3 linked regions of the Schizosaccharomyces pombe genome follow. The gene in region 1 interacts genetically with each later gene. Each region holds a gene or a part of one and is shown on either strand. Other genes may lie near its edges. The genes, in order: atp12, trm82 and SPOM_SPAC25B8.11.

Region 1 (7,594 bases):
AATGGTTGAAAGTTTATATCATTTAACATCACTATCGGCATATTCATACTTTAATTACTAATTTACGACTTAAAAAGCATGCAATCGTTAATGAAAGAACATTTCTATACAAAGGTGCTCCCGCATTCAGTATACGTTTCATTTCATTAGGGAACATGAAAAGCTTAGAACTTTTAAAGTGTAATCCATTCAGTATTTACACCAAGCTCATAAATATCCTGTTTAGGTTATCGGGGAGTCCAAGCTTTTCTTAAAAAGGTATCCGTCTCTTTTCTTGTAGTAAAATGAGGGTTTCAATTTATATTTTTATTTTTTTTACAATAAGAATTCTTCTCGTATCTTTTTATTTTTTAAGTAAAGTCCAAAATTCTCGATTTTTGGGTTGCCGTATGCTAAGGATCAATTTATAAGCTGTAGGTTACGGGAGCATCTGTTAAGCCACCGTAATTCTGCTACCACTTACGGGCAGAACTGCGCGAACATACAATCCTCAAATATCAAGTATTTATTAATTCTTTGTTGTCTTCCAAAGTTCTTTGGTGGAAATATTCCCAGTATCTTCAAAAAATTCGGTATTTAGTTGGGTACTTCTGGTTCAACCTACCAATTTATAATAATTTGCATCCCAACGAAAAGTTGGATTAATTGGCCGTCAAGGTTCTGAGGAAACAAAAGCAAAAGGTATTTTTAATCAAAAGTTTTCCCATTTGTTTGAACGTTTCTTTCTTTAGCGAAACTCCTGTATTGCATACTTTTGCTTTCAACGTTTTGCATATCTCTCTCATCTTCTTGATTATTTGATATAGACAACAAGAAATTTCTTGTATTTAGGCATAAAATTCAAAGAAATGTCAGGTGGACTTTCCCGAAGGAGGGTTGCTGCCGCAAGTTCGGACGAAGAACGTCCAGAGATGAGGAGCGTCTCTCATTCCAAAAGTCATCTTGAGGGATACGATGATGATCATAAAATCGCTTTTGATCCAAAGGATTTGGAACAAGGCGCGGAAAGGGAAAAGCAACCCAGGCTTACACTGATGGAGGAGGTATTGTTATTGGGTCTAAAAGACAAGCAAGGTTATCTTTCTTTTTGGAATGACAGCATTTCTTATTCTCTTCGGGGATGTATTCTAATGGAGCTCGCATTTCGTGGAAAGTTGCGTATGCAAAAAGACGTTAATCGTAAACGCTTTCCGTTAGCGGATCGTGTAGTGGAGTTGGTTGATGAAAAACTTACAGGTGAGGTTCTTTTAGACGAAGCTATTAAAATGATACATACTAGCGAACTCATGTCTGTAACCTCTTGGATTGATTTGATGAGTGGTGAAACGTGGAATGTGATGAAGATTGGATATCAATTAAGACAAGTACGCGAACGGTTGGCAAAGGGCCTTGTTGACAAAGGGATTTTAAGAAATGAGAAGAAGAATTTCTTACTTTTCGACATGCCAACTCATCCCATTGCCGATACCTCCATTAAAGATTCCATTAAAAAAAGAGTGGTCTCTGTTCTTACTTCACGAGTAATTGAAATTGATAATTCACCTTCTTTCCCAGAATATTTGTCTTTTCGTTGCCTTCGCACTGTTGCCCTTGCTTGTTCCTCATACGCTGCTAATGTTCTTGAAAACGCTCTTGACAATTTAAACTATGAAGATCGTGAAAAAGCATTTTCTCGCGTAGACGAGCTTCTCTGTGACTTTTCGCAATGGCCTTTTGATCTTCATGCTTCTTCGTCAGTTGGCGCTAACTTGCCTGAGCTAATTTCCGAAGAACTTTCCTCTGTGAAGGAAGAGCAACTACTTTTCATTGAGGTAGTCGCTGCTGTTCTTCAAGTTTTCACTCATTTAGATTCTTTACTTTGATAGCCAAGCATATCACTCGTTGGTGTTGTTTGAGTTATGTTATTTCCAACTCAGACTAATGAACAAACGTATACCGACTTCTATATCGCTAATGTCGGCTTAATTTGTTTGTTTTTAATTGGAGTATTATTTTAAAAGAAGTCAATTCAATCAAATTGTTCGTTGTTGTAAGAATAGTACTTTGAACAATCGGTGCTTCATTATCTAGTTGAATTTTCATTAAATTGGTGGTACCATTTCCACATATACTCTCTCCAGTTGAACACTTTATCTCGATATGGAGGCAATCCCATTTCGATATTGTCTGCTAAAAAAGATTTGTTCAGAATATCCCGGGTCAGCTTTCATTCTTTTCAGTTGCGGACATCGTTAGCTATTTTCTTCTCGTTTTAATGATTTACATACGTACATATAAGTCAGTCTTTCTTTTCACAAAGCTTTAGTTATTAAACTAACGAAAAATGACAATTGTGTAATTACTATACAGTTATCTTTTAAACCATTTTAAACTTGGGTTCTTCCACAAGCTTTACTTAAATGAACATATGATAAATTAATATAGCAGGTGTTTTCTTATGATCATTGCTATCAACTTTACTAAGACGAACATAAGCTGAAATACAGCGATTTTTAACCAAGTTCATATAAATCATCTATTCCTGCCATTAATGCCAACAACCCCATTAATTGTCTATTGCTGTAAGCGTAAAGTACTATGGAGACTGATCAGTCAAAATTAATCAGAAGCATTTAAATAATACACAATTTATAAGGGAATCTAAAGTACTCTTAAAACACCGGAAGGTGTAAGATTGACAAACAACGCTTGCTCACGTCTCGATAGCTCAGCTCAGGTATTGTATAAGGAAATATAAGGATGGTACTAAATATGTTTACGTAGTGCTATGTGCGCATTCAATTTATTACCGCGACGTATCGAGTGTCAAAGAACTACAGATAGTACTAGTACTTTTGCCATTCGCTTACAAAAAGCGCATATCCACATAAAACTAGCATTTTCAAATTCATCTGTAAAGTCAAATAATTCCAACCCAAAAGGACGGTTAAATTTTCCTTACTTTAATTTATTCTTTTTTTTTGAATTTGGTAAAGCAATTCTCGTACGTTCATTTCATTTTTTTTTCATAGTTTCCAACAATGTCTGAACGAAAGGTACTTAACAAGTATATCCCGCCCGATTATGATCCTTCCATTCGTCCTCCTAAGAAAAAGAAAAAGTTTCAAGGACCAAATGGTGGGAAATTGACTGTTCGTTTGATGACTCCATTTTCAATGCGCTGTCATACTTGTGGAGAGTATATATATAAAGGAAAAAAGTTTAACGCTAGGAAGGAGAAAACCGGCGAAAAATATTTTTCAATTGATATATTGAGGTTTTATATTCGCTGCACTAGGTGTGCTGCTGAAATAACATTTATAACCGATCCAAAACATGCAGATTATGCAGCAGAGAGTGGAGCTTCCAGGAATTATGAGCCGTGGCATGAAAAAAGATTACAAGAATATGAAGAAAATGAGTTAGCTGAACGCAATGACATTCCTGAGGAGGACGAAATGGAAAAATTAGAACAAAAAACATTAGACACTAAACGACAAATGCAAATTAGTGATGCACTCGACGAACTACGTGAAAAGAGCGCTCGAAGGTCTCGAGTTAACATTGATGATGCAATCGCTCTCTTAAAGGAAGATGCATATGGATCAATTGAAGAAGAGGAGTCCAAAAAGCGGAAATTTGAGGAAGAAGAAATTGATCGTGAAGCTAAATCGTTGTTTTCGTCTCAGGATGGTGAAATTATAAGAAGATTGAATGCAGAAACAACGGTTGAAAAAGAATTACCCAAACCTATAGATTTGGTTTCTGAGAAGCTGGCCACTTCCAATATACCGAATTTTCAGCCTCCAAAATATGCAAAAAGGAAAATGGAGAAGAAAAAGGTTTTGGTATAACGTCTATAAATGGCTAAATTTTTTAATTACTTGCATTTTTTATAGCTAAGCTATTAAAAATGTACATGTTCTTTTGTACCAGCGCAAGGTTTTTATTGTAATAATATTTAATGAGTTTTTGATGGATTTTCATAACGCGAGTTGATAGTCAATATCCTGTTCTAATTTTTATTATTCGATTAGTAAATGTAGTTTGTTATGTAGAATAATACCGTAGCATTTATAGAAAGGTTTTATTTTGTTTGTATCTATTCTTCAACTTTAAGTTTTTAACAGCACATGTTAATTGATTTTTTTTAAGGTTCCTTCTAATTTTCCGAGTATCTAATTGTAATTTATCAATTTACATTTACGGTTTGTCAAAAAGTAGTCTTAATCGTAGCTAAATTCAAGGCGGCTAACGTAAACAACGGTTTAGGAACTATGATAGGAACGTCTATTAATTTATTTTAAAAGAGTTTTTTCTTGCTTAATTAAAAACTACTTTTAGAAAAAAATATTAAAACTTATTCTCATCATGCCTGTGACAAAATATTGTTAGACTCATCTTACATAGTAACCAATATTTTGGAGAACACCAACTAAAAACGTATATCATAATAATTAACTCTTAAACAATAATTAAAAATTAAATTTTGGCAGTTTGAAGTACGAAAGATTTTTTAGTGTCTCAGATAGACACCTTGAATACCCTTTTTTTTCTATTTTTGTAAGATGCTTCGATCTTTACAATTTTACAGATTATCCAGCAAAAACTTGCTGTCATTTAAAACGTGCTATTCGTTTTACTCTACAAAAGCTTCCTCTCCTTTGCCGCAACCATCATTCAGGAGATTTTGGAAGAATACAGCTACCAAAATCCAAAATGGAGAAGTCTTGATTCAATTAGATGGACGAAATTTAAAATCACCTTCTGGGAAGATTGTTAAGGTACCTAAAGAAATGGAGTTACTAGCACACTTGATTGCCCTAGAATGGGATCGATTACCATCAACCTCTGTTCGACAACACAATCTCCCAATTACTTCCCTAGTTTCGAGAGCTATTGACATATCACAATTCAAAAAAGAAGAAAAGGAACTACTTTCTACTCAATTAATTCGTTTCCTTGACACCGACACAATTCTAATTTACTCCCCCGAAACAGAATATGAAGGGAAATTGTTGGAGGAGCAAAAGGAAAATTGGTGGCCACTGAAAGAAACCTTTGAAAACAAACTTGGTGTGCAATTAAGCTATTTGGATGGTGATGCTGGTATTATTGCCCATAAACAAACGCAGGAAACACACGAACGCATAAGAAACTGGCTCAGCTCGCTGAACTCTTGGCAACTAGCAGCTTTTGAAAGATCTGTTAGTTGCTGCAAGAGCTTCATAGTTTCTTTCATGATTTTAAAAGGATATTTGAACTCTGAAAAAGCTGCCGCTTTGACGAACTTAGAACTTCAGTACCAAACAAATCGATGGGGCTCTTTGGAAGATGGTATGTATAAACTCTCTATTATTCTAATGTTAAATACTTACAACTGCAGCTCACGAAATAGACAATGAGGATCTTAAGAATAAGTTGGCCAGCTCGGCAATACTCTCACGGTGCATAGAAGACATGCATGACAAAAGTAATGAACATGCCCACTAACGGCTATACGCAAACTCAAAAAATTACAAAATTTTTGGAATAGCTCCCTCTGGGTGAACTCAATTAAGAGAACCCTACAACTGTTTACTTAAAACACTGCACATTGCCAAATTAGAATTATAGAGTAATGTTGCCGTCGTTGAACAGAGAATTCTAAATTAGTTTCCTCATGTCGAATATGCTGAGCTATTATGTCAGTTATCCTTCAGACCAAATTGTTTTGACAAGGTACCCAAAATTAATTCATGAATCAATGTAAATGAATAAATTAAGATAATCCTGCATTTTGTAATTTATCTTTTAGGTTAGATATCTCTTCTTCCTTTTGAGCCAATAGAGTCTTTGTCTCTTGTAATTCTTTCTTAAGAGGTTCTACATAATATTTAAGTTCCAACTGTACGAATGTGAGAAGCTCCCGAATCTTTTCTAAACGTGAAAGATGAATGCAATTTGTATCGTCGTGGTAAAAAGAGTCATTATTGTCAGTGCCTTGAGTTTTATGCTGCGAAGAGTCGAATACGATAGGCTTGTAGGATGCAGATAGTTCATTTAATGAAGACATAGGTGGTTTGTCATTATCAGGAACTTGGAATTTCTGGTTAGTGTTATTCAAAGTAGTTATACTATTGGGTTGTGAAGGTAATCCGATATAAGCAGGTGAATCATTTTTTGTTGGGGTTCCAGGTTCTGTTTCGGAAAGTAAAATCGGATGCCTTAAAGGAGATGTTATGTATCCAGAATTTGGGGAAGTTTTTTTAGGACTCAATTTGTTAGCATCAATGGACATAAGAGAGATGCCTCGTCTTTTTGGAGATAGAGAGTTGACGCTAGAGTAGGATATATCTTGATTGTTCCCCGTAGACGATTGTTCTTCTCCTTCGAACCACTGCTCAAAGCAGGTGCTCATAGGAGTGCTGATGACTTGCTTAACTTGGTCTGATACTTTGCTTTCATGACCAGTATCCTCGTTTAGTAGTTTTTTATGCAAGAATTCATCGTAAGATGGTATGAAGCTGTCAATAGATAAATCTATTGAGCCATTAGATTCATTATTAAGCTCGCAAAGCGCTTCGTCTAATTTAGAGATTCGCGATGCTTTCTGAAGCAAGATTTCTCGTTGGTCGTCTATTACTTTTGTGGGCGTAGAGGAACGCAACGGATACTCCATTTCCATATCTTCATCATCTGTATTTTATTTTATTAACTTATTAATCTTCCATTAAAAACACACGGCATTACATACCAACTGAAATTGTAAAGTCATTACCCAATTGCTCAGCAAATATTTTTGTATTTTTGTTAGCAGAATCCATTTATATAATAAAGAAAAAAGGTTGAACAAGTGTCATAAGGATTTGACAAAAAACACAAAAGTACCAACTAGGAAAATCTGCAATTCTTAGTGTATTTAAAAACTTCCTAAAGTAGGTCAACGTGATTATCTTGAAACAGTGAAAAGTTCACTTCGCTTTTCACAACTTTAGCTTGTTTATTCGAGTAAAGATTCAATTTGTTTATAAGGTGCGATTAGTGGAACTAAGCAACTCTCTTTATGTCGATAAGTCGTGTACAACTTTTATATACTTATGCATATTACTATATGTTATTGACATTAAAAATAATGGTCATATAATGTACTGTTAATTTTTTATTAATTTCACTTATAGTCATCTATCAAAGTTAGAATTACATAAATTAGAATAATCCAAAAAGACATATTCAATATCACCAAGTTGAGGAAATTTGAATAATATGCCTTCAGTCCAGGCTAACAACATACAACCTCTATCCAGTGCAAATATTTTGGATGCAGTATGAAGTGCAAATAGTCGTAGGTTAAAATCTAAATTCATGAGGAGTTTGTATCAATGCTTGAGAGAGTGCGCATATGAGACTCTTTTAAGTATTCATTCTATCAGTAAAACACATTTAATCAATACCATTCACTACATTGCTTTTAAAGATGTATTTTTGGTATTCATAGTTACAACAAATATCAAATTTCAGTAGTTGTTAAAATCATATTTTAAGAGCTACATTAATTCATATTTCCTAGTGGTGTTCAACAAGCTTCTGTAGCTCAGTCGGTGGTAGCATCCCTCTCATATTATGACACAGGGGA
Region 2 (8,089 bases), on another chromosome or scaffold:
TTGGTGTTGTAATACAAATAAGCGCTAGTTAAAGCTCAGAATCTGTATCAATCGCAAGAACGAAAATGACCGCCAAATGCAAATTATTCGAGTTTAACGTTACATAAACGCGCAAATCCACGAACAGTATGATCTTTTCAATACAAAGAATGCAGAGATTTAAGGTCCTGTTGGGTTAATAGAAAACTGTTAGCAAAGTATGTATTTAGGCCAGTAAACTGCGATATTTTTTTTACTGAAATACGTTAGCATTCACAACTGGGCTTACAGTTTCTCCCCTAATATATCAACGATTGAAATCTTTTTAAGATAATCTAACCTTTTATTTAGTCGAATAAAAATTTCAATTTTCTCTTTAAGCTAAATTTGGTTGAAACTGCTTTTTTAGGTCGCTTGGATAATTGCTTCCTTTTCTCTTTCGCTTTAAACGACTTTGAATCTAGATGAAAAATGGTTTACAACTTTACATTTGTGATGATTACATCGTAAATATTTACATTGTGCCTATACCCAATTTTTTTTCTTCGTTTCTTTAGCCACAAGCGTTAGTTGAAAGTATTGTTTACACAGGAAGGGTTGAATCAGAAACATTGTATGTATGATAGCGTTATATTAGTAGACAACACTTGTAGGCAAACCTATCCCGAAAAATTTTATTTTTAAATATATACATATGCTAATTTCCAACAATAAGCAGTCTACTTTCTTTTCCGACGATGTTTTTTTCTTTCACCAACATCACCTATTATGTTTACAGGTAAAGTAGGTTCATCCGTTGTATGGTTTTTTGATGATCTCTTTTTGATGCTTAAAGGGTTAGGCCCTTTAGGACCCTTGCGTTTTTTATTGGCTTTTGGAGCAGAATCCTCTGTTCCCGCTAAATCCGTACTTTCCTTGGTATCTTGATCATCGATAGCCAGTTCATTCGCTGAACGCTTTTTTCCGGATAATAACAACTTTTCCTCTTTTGACATGCCCATCTGAACGGATTCTTTGTTGTGCTTTTCTAATAACGTAGCTCGTGAAGCTGGTTCTAGTATCACAACTGACCTTTTCATATATATAAGTGGAACACCTGGGACCGAACGAAGAGCTTGCCTAAGCTCGGGGTCTTGGGTAGCAACAACATAGCGGTGCTTGTTCCGACCATTAATGTTGACTACACTCTGAATACATTCTGAAGGAGAGAGTGCTTCATCAATATGACCACACCTCCTTCGCTCAAAAGACTTTGCGATACGAATTTCTTGCTTCAATTCATCGGATTTACTGTACAATTGCCGAATACAACATTGAGTAATCACTATAGTCAGTTAGTAAATCCGTTAGTTATAATAATTTACAAGGAGAACATAAGGAAAGAAAATAATAAACCAGACCCGGATGAAAAGATACTATGTTGAATAATTAAACTTTCCGTTCTGTTTCATATTCCGGGGGTTCGCCCTTTTTTCCAGTAAAAGAAAACACTTATAAACAAAACTTACTAGGTTTTATAGCTCCTTGAACAGTCCTAGCTAATGCAGCTTGTATATCAATCTTTTGTTGAGATAAATCTTTTAGGAAATCTGCATCCACTAAAAATCATGTTAGTTTAATAACATCACCAAAAAGAAAATGCTTATTGTTTGCAAATTAGAACTTGGGTAAGGATGCATCTTTACAAGCATCATTTTCTGTACCACATACCGAGTACTTGATATGGTTCACGAAATCCAAATAAAAGCTGATACGTATGCATCAGCTTTCTGTAATTCTTTGCCCTTTTTTGCCTCATATTTACGCCCTTTTCTGTGCGTCACACAGCCTAAGACTTAATATGCTTTAGATCACTTGTTTTTTTAAGAATTTTTTTTTTCGCTCAAAAACGAAAAGTCTTTTGTTACTATTAGAAATATTAAAAAAATAAATTCAATCGTATTAAAAGAAGTATCCAGGAACCCTAATATTGCTGAAATCCTCTTATTAGGAAATTTCCAACTAGTTTGTACTTTCCAAGTTCACCCACGTACTAAAATTTTGGGCGCTTTAACTATTTAACTTAAGTGAGATACTTGGCTTCGAACTGAGTGTATACTTCTTTTATTTCTCTATTTAGATAAATTTGTAAGGAAACGGTATTAAGCAGAAAGAGGATTCAGTCTATTATTTACCCTTATCATACTTTTTCTTCATTTCTACTGCGTAAATAATTTTAAAGCTTTGCTTTTTATTATTTGAAAGATTTGTCATTATTACTTTCTTTCTTCTAAAGCTTCTTTTTCTTCTTTTTATAAAATTGTAAATATATTCGGATCCAAAAATTAGAGGTTTATTTCTGAAGTGTTTGTTTTGTTGCTTCTATTTTCTTAAGAATCAATCAATAAAAACATGAGTGAACAGCGAGTTTTTAAGCACCCTTGTCAATTTTTAACATGGAATTCTAAACACAATTACATCGTGTGCTGTTCAGGTCCATATCTATTGGGGTTCTCATGCTCTACAGGGGAAAAAATTTTTGAACATTGTTATAGAGACAATATAAATGAAAAACATAGAGAGGCAGCTGCCTATGGAGAAGCGATTCGTCAAGTCGCATTTTCTAAAGACTATTCTCGTATGGCAACAGTTAGTGAAGACAAATGTTTGCGCCTTTGGGATAGCACTCAGCCTGATAAAATTGAACTTCTTTATCAAAAAAACATACCAAAGCGATGTGCTGACTTGTGCTTTGCGGGCTCAAACGAAATTGTTTTTGGTGATAAGTTTGGTGATGTCTATTGTGTAGACGAAAATTGGTTTACTACTTCTGAAGTTACCGAAGAAAAAAAGTCAAATGTGGTTGAAGGAAAACAAGAACCTGTTAATAATGACACTTTAAAGGATTCGAAATTGCAAAAACTCGAACCCATTATGGGGCATGTTTCGATCTTAACTCAATTAATAGTTGCTCAAAATCCACAAAATTCTAAAGAAGAAATAATCATTACTTCAGATAAAGACGAGCATATTCGTATTTCCCGATTTCCCAATGCATTTGTCATTGAAGGGTTTTGCTTAGGTCATGAAGAGTAAGTTTTCATTTGGTTTTAGTTGATCAATTTTTTTTTTTTTTTTTTAAATAACACTAACGCCTTTTCCTAGTTTTGTATCTAGGATGTCCTTATATGACAATCGTACTCTAATATCTGGCGGTGGAGATAATCACGTTTTCGTATGGGATTTAGAGAATTTCAAATGTTTGGATGCATTCGATCTACGATCTGCCTTTTCCACTTATCTCTCATTAAATCAACCAATGGTGGTTTCAGTTATTCTTCCTATTTTTAAGCGCCAGCTTGTTGCTTTTGCGTGTGAAGGAATGGCGGGTCTTATCTTCGCGAAGGTGACACCTGAAAAGAGACTGTTGTTTCATTCTGCTTTGAAGCTGTCAGGGCCTGTTCTTGACGCTGTTTTGCTTGACACGGATACTGATCAAATTCTCATTTCTTTGGACTCTAGTTTTACATTTGGTGCATGTTTTGAATGCGTGAAATTTGATGAAGGGAATGCGGCTGTTCTTACGAAACCCGATGTAATAAAGCGTATAGAATCTGATGGTTTAATATCAACCGAAAAGCCGTTCTGCCCGCTCGCTCAAATTCACACATTACGCAAGAACCACTCTAAATTCATTCGCAGTGTTGAAACCGGTACATCTTCGCCATCCGTTGAATCTAAAGATAATTAAAGCTCATTTTAGGGAGACCGGCTCAAAAAAAATAATTGGGAAAAGTGGGAGCATCAGTAAATATGGAAAATAGATATGAATAAAAATGATTGTGACATTAAAGTATAATAGGGAGAGCATTTAATTTCTTTGGAGAAACCCAGAATTTTGAAGTATAAATACAGTCAGCGATTAATAATTATGCGAATAAACGCAACTTGTATCTACTGCATAAGTGCAACTGCTATTCAGTTGTGCAACGTCAGCAATTTGAAGAAGTAAAATTAATCGTTTATTCAATTCCTTCCATTTACATGCTACGACAATACTTTACATAATACTTGCAACGGCAAATTGTTTTTAGAAGGCCTAAAGAACACGAGATACATCCATTAGTGCTATCTAACAAAAAAAGCTTAGTCGAAGAGACCGAAACCCATGTCCTCATCGGATTCCTCTTCCTCTTCAGCAGCAGCCTCGGCAGCGGGTGCCTCAGCTTCACCACCAGCAGCAGCAGCAGGAGCAGCGGCGACTACGAAAGCAGAGGGATCAGCAAGGAAAGCCTTAGTCTAAAATAAAGTTAGTGAACTGAGTACAAAAATAATTTAATGATTCAAAGAGTTTAATTGTATACAAGCGTTCAGCAAAAAATTAGAGTGTTTAAACTTTGCGCTCATGAAAATTTAGCGAGTTAAAATAATCCTCATCAAAACGCATTGCAAAACAATTGTTTCATATATAATGCTCCTTCAACGAAATCTGCCGATGGAGAAGCATCGAAAAGATTAAGGAGGTTCAAAAATATATATTTTTTCATTGAACCTCAAAGAAAAGGCATTATTTATAACAAAAGGTTTAAAACTCCTTGAAGTATTTGATATTATAGGACATACCTGTTCAGTACCCTCGAAGGTGTACTCAGTGGCCAAAGAGACAGCGACCAAGTTCTTGTAAGCGTTGACAACAGAGTGCATAACGGATAAGATAGTAGGGTAGTTAGCGCCCAAGGAAATGGCAGTGATAATACTGGCAGCAGACAAGAGGTGACCGATAAGATCCTCCTCAGAGACGTCAAGAATCTCAGGACTAAAGACGTTTCCTTGGTCATAGATCGTGAGAACATCCATACCATAGGTGAAGGGAGAGATGTTTAACATGTTAAGCAAAGTAGCCTCGGAAGGACCAACTTTAGCATCCTTGGAGACCAAATGGACATCGGAAGTAATTTCAATGGTACCACGAGTAATCTTGGTGGGGATACCAAGAGCTTGGAAGAAAGAGGTCTTACCGGGTTCCATACCAGTGTTACCGGCAGGGACAAAGACATCCAAGGGAGCAATGGCGTTAGGACGAGCAGGAGCAGCAATAACATTAGCAATAATGGTCTCACGGACTTCCTTCAAATCAGCGTTGGTGAAGACGAAACCAACGTTACCACGAACAACAGGCAAAAGACGCTCAAGCTCAGGCATATCGTTGATGATACCACGCATAGCACGACGAATCATGGTGTTCTTACCCATGATAAGTTCAGCAGTTCCACGCAACTGCTTACGGACAGTATGCATTTGTTGAGAAGACACATTGTCGATGTTAACAACAAAGAGAGAGTTGTATTTTTCGAAGAGAGAGCGGAGCTTCTCGAAGTATTGAGCCTTGCTTTCCTTGGAAATTGCCATCTTTTTGCTGGTTTGGTGGTTTGTGAAGAAAATAAATTCTTACCCAAATGTTTCTACTCACATATTGTCGCCGTGACTGTTTTTTGGACTTGTCAATCGAGTTGTGGAGAGGCTTATGGTACCAAACCGTAGTGCCTTATCAAAGAATTGCGAGAGACATAGTGACACAATGCGGAAGCTCGTTCATTTACTTTTATCGCCAATTTCTAAGATATATGGTATAACGGTAAAACAATATCGTTGTAAACGTAGATACAAATGCAGTTAATATAAGAATAAAATAATGCAATTCACAAAAGTCAGTTGGAGAGAAAAGAAGAAGAGAAATGTGTATGTTTAGTTTTTAGACTTACTACTCTCATCACAAAAGTGCATGTGGGACTAATCTTGAGTGCAACGTACCATATACAGCTATTGAAATGAGACCGTAAAATTCGTGGCATCGAGCAGTACTTTTATCCTTCAATATAAAACGAACAAATCTCAAATATTGCTGAAGCGTTTACCATTCGAGTCAAAGGAAAAATTCAGCCTCCATGCGATAGTGATTAGTGAATTCACAAATTCAACAGATGTGTTTTAAGTAAAATACTACGAAAATGATTGACAATGAGTTTATATTGGAATAGAAAAAAATCCGATACTGAAAAAACAAGACCTATGGATATTTTTTTAGTTTCTGATTTCATTGTTTATTATCGAAGAAACATGATTGCCAACTTGATGAATGACTACCGAACTCTTTCAATTCGGGTGTCATGTCTAAACATTAACAAAAATTGGAATTTGAATCGAGCGCTTTATTTATTGAACATCAAAAACACTTGAGTAGATTATCTATTCCTATTCGTACGTAACCTTATATAGATGCGAGACTACCCACAAAGTTCTGAACTTGTTCAAAAATGATTAAGAAAGTTAAGGATTTTGCTCAATAATTGTCCTAAGTCATCTAGCTTTAATTTGCAACGAAAGACTCTGATAAAAACCGACCAATTCTTTCTTCTTCAAGGGCTTTCGTTCAATGACCTACAGATAAATACAGCCCAAATCACCTTACCGCTTGATACATTAAGGTTCAATCACCCGTACATTTGCCAGCCTACAAAATTTCCTTATTTAATTACCCTTTACTACAAATCCCAACGACCGTAGTAGCAATCTTTAAAGATAATAATTTCTTTGAATACGTTATAGTTACATAGCAACTTATCTGAAAGAAGCCGTTATATTTAATTAATTAAACGTATTCTAGAGCACGCTGAACTTTGCATTTTATTGTTTAACGAAAAGAATACGTGTACGTTGTGGTTTGCTATTGAATTAACCAAACGGAAGAAAATCCAACTCACAAACATTGGGATAGTGACGCGGCAAATATAATTACGAGATTCTCTAAAAAGCGTAACCGATCTGATACATTAGTAAACCCAGACAAAGCGAATTTACCAACTTGATAGTACCACTAACTGGCATTGAAATGAGTGAAACTGGAATTATCCCAAAGAGTACAGATTACACGGATTGGCCTGCTGATGTTTGTAAATACTCTCAAGTCTTTGAGGATGTTTTAGTCGTTGGGACATATATGTTAGATGAATCGACAAAATTGCGACATGGAAAATTGGTGCTTTATGATACCAAAGAAGATGTACTGTATGTTAGATCAAAAAATTCTTGAAAAAGTACTAATTTAGATTAGAAAAAGAGTGTTTGACATGCACTGCGATGCAATTTTAGATTTTAAATGGTAAGTTGCCAAAACGGTCAACGAGCAGAAGTTCATCAAAAGAATTAAAAGATTGGCGTAAAATGATGAGGGTTTTTCGCAACCATGTGATTTAGTCAATAATACAGTATCCTGTCGTAAATCTACAGTTCGTATCAAGCCACGGTTTCCCCTTTTGACTATACGCTTTCTTGAGCTCATGCTATTCACACCTTTGTTTTGAAGGCTAGTCAAGAAGGTTTATTTCGGTGTTCAAAAGAAAGCGTTTCTAATCAGTGGTGCAAGTAAATAATCCGTAGTCGATTTTTTAAACGCGGAAAAAGGGAGTAATTATACCCATATTATTCCACAACGCTCTCCTTTTACCTTTTCTTCGTTTTCTCTAGTATTTTCACTCCATCATTGAACCTCGCCTTTCTCCTGATTCTCAGTTGTTGCTCGACGCTTCATGGATTATACCCCGTGGTTTTCTTTTCTCGCGACTTGATACTAATTCATCTTATAGGTCTCCTCATGATGCTTCTGTATTAGCTGTAGCTCATTCCACCGGCCACGTTTCTTTTTATCGCCATCAATTTCGAGCAGAACTTATGTTTTTACGTGGTATCAAGGTGGCCGATTCTAGCGTCCTTATGCTGTCTTTGGATTTCTCGGACAGCGGAAAGGAGCTAGCGGTCTCTATGTCAAACGGAAGTGTTCTTATCATCGATATCGACTCTGGTGTCATTAAAAACAAATGGAAAGAGCACGATTACGAAGCTTGGACGTGTCATTATTCTCGTCAAGACAATAACCTCCTTTATTCGGGAGGTGACGATGCTGCTCTTGTTTGCTATGATCAAAGAATCCCCAATTCATGTATTTGGAGGGACATTCAAGTTCATCATTCTGGTGTTGTTTCCATCCTCTCTCGAGCCCCCTTTGGTCCTTATATTGCTACTGGCGAGTATGGAGATTTTATGCATACGTTGGATACCCGAAATATTGGAAAGC
Region 3 (8,545 bases), 2.7 Mb from region 1:
AATAAATGCCTATTCTTATATCGTTTCCGGAAATGGTTTTAACGAAGATCGAAAGATTGTTTTCCAACCCCATGTTTCAAATATTTTAATTGACAAATTAGAAGAAAATGGCCTTTCCATGGAAAGAGCCGAGCTACCTACCAGTGTTTTTGAGGATGAATTGCAAAGGCGCGAATGGCGACCAGACCAGGAAGTTGAAGAATTACTAAGTACTTGACCAACCTGATTTGTCAGTTTTCGTTTGCATTCATATGGCTTTATGTTTTCTTTGATGTTATTGTTGTTATGTATATTCTTCATTTCGCATGGTTCCATTCTTTGTTTATGTTACACTGAGTCATTACTAAATCTCGACAATCTATTGTCAATTCAATAATATGTATTTATATCTCGGTTTTTAAAATTTTTTGACACCTGTTAACTGTAAAATATATTTTGAATCAAATACGTTCAGCAGTGCCAAAACAGTGAAAGCAACTGCTGCTCACAGTTTGTACTACCATTTGAATTGACTGACTACTGACTTCCTAGTGCTGACTAACTAACATTCGAAACCTCTTGTATATAAAACAGCTCATAAAAATTGTATAAAAGAGATAGATTTAGACCATAAAAAAAGACTGTTCTTGAGGCGAATATGTTTAGCAAAGCCACTTGTGTTTCGAATGAGATAGTGCCATACTATGTACCCTCTTAGCAATGAGTTAATGTCGGCAATTTACTACACTACATTATGGTGCACCAAGTTATACTATCAAGGACAAGATCCATTGATTGATATAATTTCCGAATATATTCGCAGGTATCGGATTTAAGAAAGTTATTAAATCGAATTTATTGAATTCATTGTAACTTATAATAAACGCGTCGCCGACAACAACACCTAAATTTATATTCATATCTGATTTTACACTCTTTATTTGAAAATTGAGAATCGATAATTGTAATGATTGGGAGAACATTTAAAACTGATATTGCTGATTACGAAACCGCAAGACCCGATTATCCACCACAAATAACGGAATGGTTAAATGATGAATTCAGTGTTAATGAGACTTCTACTATTTTAGAGCTTGGCGCAGGTAGTGGTAAGCTTACGCCAAGAATTATAGCGTCTCAACCTAAGGAAATTATCGCTGTCGATACATACGTAGAGATGCTTGATGTTTTAAAAAAGAAATTCCCAAATGTTGATTGTCGTGTGGGTTCAGCTATGGCTATTCCCCTCGAGGATGAAAGCGTTGATTTGGTTGCTTGTGGGCAATGCTTCCACTGGTTTGCAAATGAAGAGGCATTGAAGGAGATTTACCGCGTCTTGAAGCCTAACGGGAAACTTGCTCTTATTTGGAACATTCGTGATAACAGTGTACCATGGGTTGAAAAGTGTAGTCAGCTTTTAGAAAAATGTCGGGGAGGTCCACTTAACATGTTTGAAAAGGCAGCTGAACTTTTTCCTGGCTATGGATTTACTGAACTGAAGCAATCCTTATTCACTTCTGCGAAAAAATATTCTATCGAAGATTTGCACAGATTAATGAATTCCTTTTCTTCTATTAATAGACTACCAGTAGAAGAGAAGGAGAAAATGCATGCAGAACTCGATGAAATTATCAAAACAATCCCTCGCGCGCAAAATACTGACCAAGTAGACTTCAATATTCTAACAGTGGCTTATAGCTCTGAAAAGGTGCCCATCAACTGATCAGCCTTTTTGACTTTACAGAGCACTGTTCATTGTGGTGAGTAGTGGTAATACACTCTACGTGGTATAGTTTCATTGTAGCGATTCTTTTGCACCTTTACCTTTGTTGACAAGGAATTATGAGCTTTATGAATGATATTTAATAAGATTGTTTCACGTTATTTCATCAATACTTTTTTGGGAGATACATATCATTGATGACACTCTCAATCGGCTTTGCTTAGATTGTTTTTTCTTTTTTTTTACCCTCTTTCTATAATTAACTACATCATTAAGACTTCTCCTTTTTTGTCTCACTAGCCTAACAGATGGATTGAGAAAATAATATAGAAACGAATTTTTTTTAGCCAGTTTCAATTTTTAGTCGTAATCCCACCATTACAAGGAAAGGTAGTAAATGCAAAAACTTTGAATTCAGCATTTTTGTTGAGAGTTGTTTGTCTGCCTGTGATGGTCAGCCAATTTCCTATTAAATCAAATCAAAGTTTCATTTAATGCAAACATAAAAGGTAATAATTTCAAGAATTTGCTATCTCCGAGGCGAACTCATCAACCAATTGTCCATTTGAATCCAGAATAGTCTTAGTGGTATATTCACTACAATACAACACAATACCGCAGCGTTTAAGCTCAAATTATCAACCGGTCGTATCATTGTTTTTAACCACCTCTACTCTAGTGAACAACAATCGTTAAGTATAAAAAGATGGCTGAACAAATTGACTTGAAAACATTTAAAACTGATGTTGCTGACTATGAGGCTGCGAGGCCTGAATATCCTATAGGAATAACCGACTGGATTACTGATGAATTCTTAATTGATGAGACTTCCATCATTTTAGAGCTGGGTGCTGGAACTGGCAAGTTTACACCAAGGATCATCGCGTCTCATCCTAAGGAAATTATTGCTGTTGACGTATACCCCGAGATGCTCGATGTATTGAGAAAGAAATTCCCAAATGTTGATTGTCGTGCAGGCTCAGCTATGGCTATTCCTCTTGAGGATGAAAGTGTTGATTTGGTTCTTTGTGCACAATGCTTCCACTGGTTTGCAAATGAAGAGGCAATGAAGGAGATTTACCGCGTTTTAAAGCCTAATGGGAAATTGGGTCTTGTTTGGAACACTCGCGATGACACTGTGCCTTGGATTGAAAAGGTTAGTAAAATTTTGGGGAGGTACCGAAAGGACGCACCTAGCTTTGTTAGTTGGAAATGGGCCGAACTATTTCCTGGTCATGGATTTGGTAAACTTAGGTACTGTGCATTTCCTTTCTCGAGGTGTCTTACAGTCGAGGAATTACATACTTTAATGAATTCGTTCTCCTTTATTTATAAGCTTCCGGAAGAAGAGAAGGAGAAAGTGCATGCTGAACTTGATGAAATTGCTAAAACTATTCCCCGTGTCCAAAACACCGACCAAATTAAGCTTTGTTACCAAACGATGGCTTTTAGTAGCGAGAAAGAGCCTGCCAAGTGATGAATTTTTTTCAAGCGATACTCTTATGCGTAGAAGTAATACACTGTGAGTGATGAAACCTTCGACGCGGCGCAAACATTTTGCACTTGCCATCTATGATGAGGAACATAGGCTTTATGGATACTTTTATGCGTATGTTATATTCTCATTTTTTTTCTTCTTTCTTTTGTTTTGTTGTTTGTTACGAGGAATTCTTATGCTGTCAATTTTATCGCAGCTAACCTCTTTGTTAAGAATTTTGTTTCGCGTATTGAAAGAATATTTTCCAACAATCACTACTATTGCTAGATTCACCTTTATACGTTTCATCCACACTTTATTCAGTGAAGATTAGCAAAAATGTTTAAACGAGAACTCAATTCTTAACATAGCTTCGCTTATCATATGCAGCTAATATATAAATTTTTGAACGAAAATTATCATCTTATATGATACAAGTGATCGCAAAATTAGGGCTCGTGAGTATGACTAAAATTGCGATTATCACTTCCACTAAAAAGTTTAAGCATAAATAATTTTATTCTTTTTTTTTCCTAAACAATTGTACGAAAGAAATGGAAAACATTTACTTCTTGGTCTCTAAACTTCTTTAGCTTCACGTATTTGTTTGTACTTTTTTGAATAATGAGTTGCGTAGTGTTGCGGCGCTCTACTTAGTACATCATTATAGAAGTTCCATATCAAAGATAAACTTGTACTATATTTGGACTTAGCCTTATCCATCATTGTACTATTCTGCGTTTAAACAGTCTCAATTGTCAGTTTTGAAATTGAATTTTATTTGCTTATAAGTCGCATTTAATTAGTCGTATGTTCTTGCAATTATCATCGAGTTATAGAAGTTAAGTATTCTCATTCGCATTTTGGCATTTATTTGCTATCCCTTGGTATTCACCCGGTACCATCTTTTGATATCTTCTTAACCATATGTGTGTTTTTGAGTGGGTTGTTATACGTTAGTTTGCTCGAAGGTTTCATTTGGCTTTAAGCATTCATTTGCTATTATTCCCATTTTACACAAAATCAGGTAGAGGCCATATAAACCCCTTATAAGCTTGATTGAAGAAAAGAAAAAGAGACCGATATAATTGGCCTGTTTCCTATTATTATTAATGTCTAATTTGATTTTAACGCCTTCAAACAATGGCACAGAACGGCCTTATCGCTCAAGGAAAACTAGACCTTGTGACAATTGTCGATTGCGGAAAAGCAGGTGTGTGGTAGAGTCAATTGGAAATCCCTGCTTATTATGCACGCAGTTGAAAATTCCATGCACCTACCATCTTCCTCCTATAAAGCGCAACAAACAAAAAAAGCAACAGGATTCTGTTTCAGATGACACACCATCAGAAGCAACAACAACGACTAACGACGATCGTGATCCAAAGTACAATGCCTTAGGCAATAATTTGGATGCTGTAAGAGGAAAAGTGATTTCACCTACGCAAGGGTCAGATGCTCGTGGACCTGATGGTCGTCAAGTTCCATTAAATCTAGCAGGCATTACTGAAATGTATCATACTTCAGATGATAAATTTGACAAACTTGGACTTGACGATTCTTTGAACTATCCTTATGTGTTGGGGCCAACCTGTGATTCAGACATCGATCTTATTCGTGAGTATTTTTCGTTTGAAAACGGTGTTTGCTCTTTCGATAATATGACTGTTAAGTACGTTTCTACTAGCTCCAAATCACCTGTAATGTATATCCTGGATCCTGCGTATGAGAATGACCGTCATAGTGATTTTTCTCGATATGATCATGCTTTGCACGATCTATTATCAACATACATTGATGAGGCAACTGGCCGCACTTTAGTTAATTTGTACTTTAGTCATGTGCATCCTTCTTATCCTATTCTTCATGGACCTAGGTTTTTATTATCATATAAAAACGGTTCTCGAAATGTACCGTCTATTTTACTTGCCGCACTTTATTCCGTAGCTCTTACCTACTGGCCTTCTGATTCTCGATCGTTTGGAGCGCCACCACTAGATCAACGGAAAATGTGGACCATTGTCGAGGAAGGGTTGAATTTTCATTTTACACAACCACGACTTAGCACGATACAAGCTGCTCTCTTGTATTTAATTAGTCGTCCTTTACATAATATGTACAGTCTTTCCAGTATCCTTTCCCGTACGACTGTCCTTTCGCAGTTGTTGGGTTTTAATCATGATTGCACGGAATGGAAGATACCCAATGAAGAGAAAACCATCCGTAAACGCATTTGGTGGGCTATTTTTATTGCTGATAAATGGTATTCAATGTATTTTGGGTTAGCTACGAACATTCATGAAGATGATTTTGTCGTCCCAAAAATAGAATCTGATGAATCATTGCCTCTGGAAATCACATCGTCACATTCCTTTAAAACATTTCTTAAAATGATAGAGCTTAGTTCTCTTTTACAGGATATATTACAAGACTTATTTACTGTCCGTGCATTAACCCGTCATTCAAAAAACAATCGTTCTATTAGTTACCAGATCATTGGCTTTTTTACCAGATTAAACAGTATCCGTCCTGTAGAATTTACAGAGCCTGCGCTCGGAGTTGGTAAGTTTTTTTTTCCTCTTTACACTTTACTAATTGTTTTATTCAGCCTCATTAAAAATCCAGTTTGATGCTGTTGAAATATTGTTGTGGAAGACGGCATTGAGGTTCAACTTACCCGATTTTCAGTCTGCAGATGACTTATTCGTTTGCGTAGAAAAATCTGTTTCGAATTTTGTACAAATCACAGCCAACTCTTCGGGAGACTTTTTCTGGCCTTACGCAGGATTCCATTTTTCAACACTTGTTTCGCTTTTAATTCGCTTGCATTTAGATTTCCATACAAACAATACATACGGAGCTAGAGCTTTCTCACTTTTGGATGCGTTTGTGCGGCACTGTATCACGTTGCATGAGGCAGGTTTTGACTTTGTTGAAATGGCAATTAGGCGATCGTCTTCTTTGTTAAAGGAGCTGGGCAAGGACCATCCGCATTTATTGGCTCTTCGAGACGATATATTTAATTCTAATGATTCGCGAGGCGAAGAAGCTTATAATCACGTACCAGAGCAGCTGTTTGATCCATGGAATCCTCATTCATGGACGTTTCCCAAGTCCGATTAAAGAAATTTGTCTCTCACACACTAACTACATTGGCTAAATACTTAGGTTTACTTCTTCAAAGAGATCTGTAATTAATGTACATCTGAATTGGTGAAAATGCTAAAGATCACTTTGTTGTCTGTCATTCACAAACATATATATACATACAAAATATTGAACTATGCTATTGGATGTTAAACGTTTCTTCTTTATCTTGTGATTATTTTATTTTATTTTAAAGTTTATAGTGCTGGTCAAAGAATGCCTGGCATCTCTTATGACATTTTGAATAATAATACATTTATAATTTTGAGTCATGATAGAACCGAAACTTAATGGACTTTTGCTGCATGGTTTATTTAAGTAGTCTATAACTTTATACACGAAGCTTACGATACGAAGTTTTTAGATTGACTAAAGTTATATTCATTTGCTAACGATAGGCATCAATGACAAAACAATATAATATACATCAAACAACGTCCATAAATGCTATTTAACATACCGAGTAAATGAAATAATGACAAAAGCAAGCCTCTAACAAAACAAATAAAGAAAAAGAAAGAGTCAATTAATACAAATAATGAGAATAAAACACAAGTATCGCCGCTGTTGCTTCAACAACGACGTACGAGTTGGATGTATTGTTCACAGTGTAGAGGATCGAATCTAGGGTCTATAAAACAAACAGTTATGAAAGGGGAAAGGAATTAACGGGTATATATATGTGACATCTCATTCCAAGTAACCCCTTATAATAAAGAAGCAAACATTAAAGGAAAGAGACAGAATTGTAACTAATAGGGAGAAAAAATAAAAAACATACTAAATAAAGATTTATATAGATGAGTGTAAACGAATGCAATACGTCCGGAAATACAGCACTCCACAAAATGTCAAAAAATGGAAAAACGTCAAAGTGATTGTTGAGGACGCAAATTCATGTAAAGAAGACAATTATCCCGTAAAAATTTAAAAAGTGTAGGGAGGAGGAGTGTAGTCCTCGGGAATGTTGAAGATACGCTCAAGAACCTCACCTACAGCACCTTCCTCGTTACCAACACGAGAAACAGCTTTGGCCTTCTCAATAGCAATGGGCATACCATTCTTGATGGCAACAGACCAACCAGCAATGGCAAACATAGACAAGTCGTTTTGACCATCACCAAAGGAGATGACATTTTCATTCTTAACTTCAGGGAGGATGTTAGAGGTGATGTACTGAAGAGCAGTACCCTTGTTGCTGTTGGAAGGAATCAACTCGATACAGAACTCCAAAGCTTGAGTAGTAGCAAATTTCTCTCTGGGGAATTTACCAAGAATGTCACGGACGACGTCAAGCTTATCGGGATCTTCACAGACAGCCATCTTGATAACCTTGATTTCGCCAGACTTGACCTTCTCAATGGCTTCTTCACAAGGCATAGAGAAATCGACCTTTTCACCAATTTCAGCCAAACGCTTGACATTCTTCATGTCCTCACGACCAGGAGTCAAAGCGTAGACGTAGTGCTCATCATAAACAACGTTGGCGATGTTGGGGTTACCCTTGGTGGCCTCAACAACCTCCATAACGACCTCAGGCTTCAAGTGATCGGCATAAACGATCTTTCCCTTGTTGTACAAGACACAACCGTTAACGTGGGCGGCAGGGAAGGCATCCAAATCCAAGGGGATACGAATGAGATCGACGGCAGAGCGTTGCTTGCCGGTAGCCAAAACAATGGGGAAATTGGGGTATTTTTCACGGATGTACTTCATAGCACGATAAGTGCGGAAGTGGAAACGATGATGCTTATCCAAAAGTGTACCATCGACATCGGAAATGACCATTTGAAGTGTGTCAAGGGTGGGCAAATTGTTAGTCTTGTCAACAGCGCTCATCTTTAAAAATGTTTATTTAAAAAAAAAAAAAAAAAGAAAAAGAAAAAGACAAATAAATCTACGTGGGGTTTATTGGGGGGAAAAAAGGGCAAGAAAAGAAAAATATATATCTAATAAAGTAAAAAGGCGAAAAAAATCAACAAACCGTTTTTGTTTTTGTTTTTGCTTTTTACCAATCCAATTCGATTTCCGGTATATATACCAAGTAAAAAATTCCAATCAAAGTTTTGTTAGACGTTTAACAAACACCAACAAACAATACACTATACTGATCCTACAAATCCACACACTGTGTTTTGTACAGGAAAGAATGTATACACAAGGGACGCCTGTCGAATTTATATTCTCGGCCAAGAGCCATCCTTGACAAGAGCCGAAGA

Evidence for each region.
Region 2: mutations in atp12 (region 1) and trm82 together harm fitness less than expected from each alone (positive genetic interaction), as found in Schizosaccharomyces pombe (one large-scale study listed by BioGRID).
Region 3: mutations in atp12 (region 1) and SPOM_SPAC25B8.11 together harm fitness more than expected from each alone (negative genetic interaction), as found in Schizosaccharomyces pombe (one large-scale study listed by BioGRID).

Annotation. Positions count from the first base shown.
Region 1 is NC_003424.3:1,485,009-1,492,602, reverse strand, and holds atp12 (F1-ATPase chaperone Atp12), read left to right. Parts: upstream 1-4,412; 5' UTR 4,413-4,547; coding exon 4,548-5,316; exon of another isoform or gene 5,317-5,365; coding exon 5,366-5,472; 3' UTR 5,473-5,740; downstream 5,741-7,594. Other genes in the region: gpp74 (golgi phosphoprotein 3), read left to right, coding at 849-1,862; cwf16 (splicing factor), read left to right, coding at 3,021-3,833; SPOM_SPAC9.11 (uncharacterized protein), read right to left, coding at 5,741-6,657, 6,716-6,785. UniProt on the Schizosaccharomyces pombe protein: Essential for the assembly of the mitochondrial F1-F0 complex.
Region 2 is NC_003421.2:1,976,525-1,984,613, forward strand, and holds trm82 (tRNA (guanine-N7-)-methyltransferase subunit Trm82), read left to right. Parts: upstream 1-1,996; 5' UTR 1,997-2,370; coding exon 2,371-3,050; intron 3,051-3,123; coding exon 3,124-3,709; 3' UTR 3,710-3,841; downstream 3,842-8,089. Other genes in the region: rRNA processing protein Utp23, read right to left, coding at 699-1,303, 1,488-1,577, 1,690-1,777; rpp0 (60S ribosomal protein uL10), read right to left, coding at 4,105-4,257, 4,582-5,367; SPOM_SPCC18.20 (uncharacterized protein), read left to right, coding at 5,977-6,195; dph7 (WD repeat-containing protein), read left to right, coding at 6,848-7,023, 7,070-7,117, 7,602-8,089.
Region 3 is NC_003424.3:4,169,768-4,178,312, forward strand, and holds SPOM_SPAC25B8.11 (transcription factor), read left to right. Parts: upstream 1-3,907; 5' UTR 3,908-4,291; coding exon 4,292-5,741; intron 5,742-5,787; coding exon 5,788-6,302; 3' UTR 6,303-6,611; downstream 6,612-8,545. Other genes in the region: SPOM_SPAC25B8.08 (uncharacterized protein), read left to right, coding at 1-217; SPOM_SPAC25B8.09 (trans-aconitate 3-methyltransferase), read left to right, coding at 947-1,702; SPOM_SPAC25B8.10 (trans-aconitate 3-methyltransferase), read left to right, coding at 2,409-3,179; SPOM_SPAC25B8.12C (nucleotide-sugar phosphatase), read right to left, coding at 7,254-8,165.